Drosophila melanogaster: one gene and its partner. The protein of the gene in region 1 interacts with the protein of each later gene in a pairwise test. Each region holds a gene or a part of one and is shown in the gene's direction. Other genes may lie near its edges.

Region 1 (3,093 bases):
CTCATCCAGCAGTATCTGAAGGAGTCCAACCTTATGAAGACCCTGCAAACGTTACAGGTTAGTACTTACACACCGCGGAGAGAGTTTGTCTTTCAATGATCTTAAACTTTCAGGAGGAAACGGGTGTCTCCCTGAATACGGTGGACAGCGTGGATGGCTTTGTGCAGGATATCTCCAACGGGCACTGGGACACCGTGCTAAAAGTGACCCAGTCTCTCAAATTACCGGATAAGAAGCTGCTCAATCTATACGAGCAAATAGTCTTGGAGCTGATCGAGCTCAGAGAACTGGGCGCAGCAAGATCTCTGCTCCGCCAGACGGATCCCATGACCATGTTGAAGCAGCAGGAGCCCGAACGATACATCCATTTGGGTAAAATATAAGCCATTCTAAGGTTTCACTAGAGTTCGTGATTCCTAATTGGTATATTTGTCTGTAGAAAACATGCTGCAGCGCGCTTACTTCGATCCCAGGGAAGCCTATGCAGAGGGAAGTAGCAAGGAAAAGCGGCGCACGGTCATTGCCCAAGAGCTAAGTGGCGAGGTGCATGTGGTGCCCTCCTCCAGGCTCTTGGCACTCCTGGGACAGGCTCTTAAATGGCAACAGCACCAGGGACTCCTTCCGCCCGGCACCACCATTGATTTGTTCCGCGGCAAGGCGGCGATGAAGGACCAGGAAGAAGAAATGTATCCCACCCAGCTGTTCCGACAAATCAAATTTGGCCAAAAGTCGCACGTTGAGTGCGCTCAGTTCTCGCCGGATGGTCAGTATCTGATAACGGGCAGTGTGGACGGTTTCCTTGAGGTGTGGAACTTTACCACCGGCAAGGTGAGAAAGGATCTGAAGTACCAGGCGCAGGACCAGTTCATGATGATGGAACAGGCGGTGCTGGCGTTGAACTTCTCACGAGATTCCGAGATGGTGGCATCGGGCGCACAGGATGGCCAAATCAAGGTGTGGCGCATCATCACCGGTCAGTGTTTGCGTAAATTCGAGAAAGCCCACACCAAGGGAATAACCTGTCTGCAGTTCTCGCGAGATAACAGCCAGGTACTCAGCGCATCCTTCGACTACACGGTGAGACTGCACGGGCTGAAGTCGGGAAAGATGCTGAAGGAGTTCAAGGGGCATTCCTCCTTTGTGAACGAAGCCACCTTTACGCCTGACGGACACAGCGTGCTCAGCGCATCTTCCGACGGCACAGTAAAGGTTTGGTCCCTTAAAACGACCGAGTGCGTGGCCACGTACAAGCCCCTTGGCAACGAGTTGGCCGTAAACACAGTCCTCATTCTGCCCAAGAATCCCGAACACTTCATTGTCTGCAACAGATCCAATACGGTTGTCATTATGAACATGCAGGGCCAGATTGTGCGATCCTTCTCGTCGGGTAAGCGCGAGGGCGGTGCCTTTATCTCAGCCACTCTTTCGCCGCGAGGAGAGTTCATATACTGCGCTGGAGAGGATCAGGTGCTTTACTGTTTCTCCGTCTCCTCCGGTAAACTTGAACGTACTTTGAACGTAAGCTGCTCTTTAAACTATTTGTTTTCAAACTGACTTTAAACGTGATATTTATTCCATAGGTTCATGAAAAGGACGTCATTGGCCTGACACATCATCCGCATCAAAATCTACTGGCCAGCTACAGTGAGGACGGCCTGCTGAAGCTTTGGAAGCCTTAGACCATATAAGCAATTGACTTTCACACCTAGTTAGTTTTAGTTGGTGGTCTTATTTGAGCTGCCGAAATATACCTACTGACCCCAAAGCGCTTGCAGTTTTTTTCTCATGCCCTCAGCCATTCCTCACATCAATATCTTCAATCTTGCCTATATGAAACAAATTGACTTTAATTAAGCATTATGCAAAGCGCCAATCTCTCAGAGCGCTAATCCACAGAGTTTCCCTCAATTGCCTCAATCCAGCACCTAAATTAGTCGAGCAGCGACACTCAGCCGGTTCACTTGCAACATGAAGAGCGACGAGATCATCGAGAAGATACGCAACAAGTTGAAGGAATCGGATCCTGCCCGGCGCACCGTCGTCAACACGTTTCAGTTCAACTTCACCGATGCGGATGGTAATCTCATCAAGAGCATGGGTGAGTGGGAAAGAGGATGCCTGGTTGTGGGTCAGCCCACCGTTGACCGTCTCATCGTAGTCTTTGATTTCAAAGCGTTGGACATCTACGAGGGGAGTGCCACCAGTGTCGATGCACAGGTCACCATTTCCGATGAGGACTTCTACTTGGTGGGCACTAAGCAGAAGACTTTCCAGGAGGTGTTGCAGCAGGAGAAGGCTAAGATCGATGGCGATGAGGAGGCTATCAACAAAATGCTGGAGAAGTTTCGCATAAATTCTCAAAACTAGCTCGGTGTCAAAAGTAATTATGCATGCATTTCGTTTATTATATGCGACAATTTAACGTTTATTGTTTATTCACTTCACCCCAATAATAAATTATAACAAATTAAAATATTTCTATTTAATTCTAAGGGAAGTCAAGAAAGAAATTAGTAGGAGTTACAACAATTAAAAAATAAACAATTATCCCACCAAAAAATGTAATCAAATCGTGACTTATTTAATTGGTTTTAGTATTCATTTATTTAATTACCTTTATTTATATTTAATGTTAACATGGAATTGTTTTTGTAGGTGTTTCCTTTTAATTTGAAATTTTTGTTCTGCGATTTATCATTTAACTATTTTATTTGTTATTCGGTTATCTCTCTTTTTGGCAACTGGCGCCATGTTCTCTGCCAATAAGTGCGCCCGAGATTCGGTTTTCTGATTTCTGTATCGGGTTTTTGAAATTTGAAAAACGTCTCTCAATTCAAATGTGTTTGACTCCTTTCTTTGAGTGTCTTATTTATAGGTTTAATTGTAATTTTAACATTTGCTTTTTGGGGTGTTTTAGTTTAACTTTGTGTTACTTTAGTAAACATTTTAGTTTAGAACATTTTCTTTTTTGGTTTTGGGATAGGTTTTTTTGCTGGGGACATTATTTTTCAAACTTTTTATTAGCTTTACGTTTTCGTACTATTTTTCTTTAAATTTATGTTTAATTTTTATTGCTAGAACACAAATTTAGAG
Region 2 (3,759 bases), on another chromosome or scaffold:
CCAAATATTTGTATAGCCCTTTAAGGAGTTTATTATGTTGTAACTTGGATAGAATGGATTCCAGAATAGTTCCGGAAATGACTTGAAACTGTATTTCCGGCTTTCACATTTAATTTACATTTTAGCGTGGACACCTACCGCAATGGTTTGGTTATATGCTAACGCTTTCCTTAAGCTCTTGTAAAAGTTTTGTAAGTACTAGTGTTATACGGAGATTTTGTTAACAATTTCATTGAAGTATTTACATACGTAAGAATTTCAACAGAAATGTATCCTCCCAGTCGGGTTCATTTAAAAGGATTAACGGTATTTTGAAAAATAAATTATACAAAAAGATTTACAATCTATAACGTAGCTTAGAAAATGAATTTCAATTATCATTTTATTATATATTTTATAGAAATTGACTTGAATAATGTGGTGTCCATTGCAAAACGGATTAGCAGGACTAGACTTATATTACGAGTCATTTTTCGATTCTCCCACTTATGTATATTGTTCAATTGACCTTTGATAATACAAAATTGCCTAGATTTCAAATAATATTACGTATACTAAAATTTATATATGTATGAAGTTGTTAGCCAGTTTCTTTCTTTTTTTTTCCATGAAATATTGAAATCTTCCTTCCGTTTTGCTTTGAAGTTCAAGTTATTTATTATTTGTTGTATTCTGCAAACAGCTGTTTGCATTTCGGCCGGCGTCGCAAAAGCAACAATTTTCAACCGCGTAAAGCTTTTGGCCTCTTGAGCCATAATTTCATACAGGTTGCAGGCTTGGAAAAATAACTCAATCTGGACTCACCTACTCACTCTCACTCTCTCCCTCTCCCTCTTCCAACCTTTCCTTTATTCACTCACTCTCCCACGCGATTTTTGGAACAAAAACGACGGCAGAGGAAATGCAGCGCAGTCGACGCCAAAAGGGATATTTTATATTATATATTAAGCCCGTCCTTAAATATGAATTTCCCAATCCTATTCTTATTCAAATTATAAAATGTATATTTAGCTTTAAGTTTAAAATATTGTTAAGTCGTACTCGGCTTCATTACGTAAATATCTTATTCATATAATTTTTGTACACGTAGTGTCACATGATAGAGTAATCAAATAAATGCATTTGGTAATAAGCTGATCTTCTGGACATTCAAATAACTATGCTCAAAAACCTTGCTGGCCCTTGATTCACTTAATAACTCAATTTTAGGACTTTCAGTGGGTGGAAATTTCCCTGGCACCCACGCAAACGAACGGGTTAAAAGATAGTGAAAAAGAGAGAGCGCACGAAAGCAACAATTGCTTACTCTTATGCACAAAGAAAAAATACTAACAACTTCAATTTTTGCATTGAATTACATAGAATTCGATAGAAAAGCCCAGGTCAAATAAAAAATTAAAACAATAATTTAGATAACGACTTATTTGATGTTAGATATTAGATTTAATTCGGTTAATGGGTAAGTTAGAAGAAATAATGTAAATTTTTGCATTGCAATAATGAAGCAATGAAACAAGCTTTACGTTAACGTCACATGAACTACCGTTAGCGAGCGAACAGTGCAGAAAGCGCTCAAGAGCGCGGAGCATTCCAATGCGTTGGAGTAAGAGCGTGCAGAATTCGTGGGAGCAAATTGGCGCCCGAATCAGCCGCTTTTCGTAACTCACTCAATGCGAATTGTTTTCAAGCGCCGGAGAGAATCTATATAGAGGGGCTTCTCCGACTCGCTTCGAATATGTTTTTCGCAGCGCGCGCGTTCGCATCGGAAAATCAGAAAAGCTGGCAAGCGTTTAAAAACAAATTCGGCAGGTACAATTGTTACTTGTTTTCCCCTCAGTTGACTATTTCGTCGCAGGTTTTTGGCCAGCGGAAACCATCGTAATAACCGTTTATCGTTATTTTATTATATTCGCGTAAATCGTTGTTTGTTCAACCACAGAATACTTGTTGTTACGCATTTCGAAAATGGAAATGCGAAAATTTCCAAGCAGTGAAAATCAAAACGAATAAAATATATTGGCTGCTTTTCGTGTTTAGCGCGTACGTGTGTGTTTCTGTGTTAGTGAGTGCAGCAAGAAATAAAACCAAAAAGCAACAAATAAATAAATAGAAAACAAAAGCAAAATCAAATCCAAATTCAAAGGCAAATACTTGCAAAGTAAGTTGATAATATCAGAGTGTGGTGCTAGCATATGTTGCATTATTTTGCCCAGCAATTTACATGTTTTTCACATTTTCTTCTCTCACAAATGACAACTAACTAATATGGATGATATTAACGGTGTTTAGAGTTGGCTTTTCCATTGAGAAATATGAAAAAATGCGTTCAATATGTTAGCGTACACACACACACAAGCGGCGGCTAACTGTTGTTTGTGTGTATGTGGGTGAATTGGCAATAACGCGCACGTGTATTAGTGTGTGTTTGTTTTTGTTGCCTTTGCGGCCAAGTGGCAGCAAAACGTTGCAAGCAACAAAAACAATAACTACGATGGCAAAACAAGTGCAGTCAGCAAAACCAACTCAACCAGTGCCTCTCGCGCTCTCCCACTCTCTCTCTCTCTAATACCCAAGCCCACCTCCTGCTCCCACACTCACCCTTCTCCCTCGCACCCATTGACGCAACTGCATGGTCAGGGCTTCTTTTACTGTTACAAAGCTCATGCGTGGACCCAATAGCAAAATGAATGCACGATGTACTTAGTTCATTAATTCCGCCAAATCAGAAATTATAATTATAAATGTACGAGTTTAATGGATTAAAGTTAGGTGTACGTAATTTTTTTAATTGTATGACCACTTTGGTGAAGCATAACCGTGGTATGAAGCTATTACAATTTCATGAACTTGGCGGCATAAACTTTGCAATTTACTATCTATGGTCGTCTTTGGATTTTTGGCTTCGCGCTTTTTGCTCTTCGAAGTGCGCTGCTCTCTTTGCGCCAAACAAAGCTCGGCCGACACTTGTCGCGTCTTTTGGATATCTGGCCTCCTCCCACCGCCCACTGCCTCTTTACATATATCTTTTACATTTTTTGCTTTCATACACTGAATAAAATTATGGGTATATACCGTACTATCAAATGTTTCTGAGTAAAAATTAATTTAAATAAAAAATTTAATTATATAATTATAAAATTATTATATAATCACTTGTATTTAATGTTGTATGTGTTGCAAATCCATTAATACTTTTAAACTTCTAGGCTTAAAAACAAATGTCTGTGAAAAAAGTGGAATTCTTGGAAAGTGTATCTCTTTGGCTTTTCCACCTCGAGGCGTTTTCGCTTGAAGCTTTTGCGAGTTTGGTTCGATTTCCATTTGCGTTTAATTGCATTTATGCATTTTTAATCGAGTTTGACTTTGGTGAGCTTTTTACTTTGGCATATGCTAGATTGTCGCCCAGACACACGGGGTTTTTTTGGGTGAAAATGGGCTCTTGCTGATCCAAAAGATAAGTTTCAGTTTCGTCCTTCTTGGTAGTGAGATGTTTGGACAAAGTTTTCTAATTGGCCTTGACGCCGTTTTCAGAGTTTTAGTGCTACTAAAAGGCAAGAGTGCGAACTTTCTGCGTCTTTAATAAGATAATTTATTTGCAATTATAATTTGGTTCATTAAAGTTAATTGAATTAAGGGCAGGCGTTACATTCCAACCAAATGGAATGACAATGGGTGTGGGGTTAAAGATAAAAGGATTTTAGTTAGTGAGGAATATATTTTGTGATAATAACGGGTAATTAAATTTTTTTTTATTTTAAA

What was found. The genes of interacting proteins can lie anywhere in the genome.
Region 2: the proteins of euc (region 1) and mtgo interact in a two-hybrid assay, tested with the Drosophila melanogaster proteins (one large-scale study listed by BioGRID).

Annotation. Positions count from the first base shown.
Region 1 is NT_033777.3:18,977,649-18,980,741, reverse strand, and holds euc (eucalyptus), read left to right. Parts: upstream 1-1,932; 5' UTR 1,933-1,968; coding exon 1,969-2,098; intron 2,099-2,158; coding exon 2,159-2,367; 3' UTR 2,368-2,469; downstream 2,470-3,093. Other genes in the region: Smu1 spliceosomal factor, read left to right, coding at 1-57, 114-372, 440-1,518, 1,581-1,679.
Region 2 is NT_033779.5:16,543,281-16,547,039, forward strand, and holds the start of mtgo (miles to go), read left to right. Parts: upstream 1-1,735; 5' UTR 1,736-2,158; intron 2,159-3,759.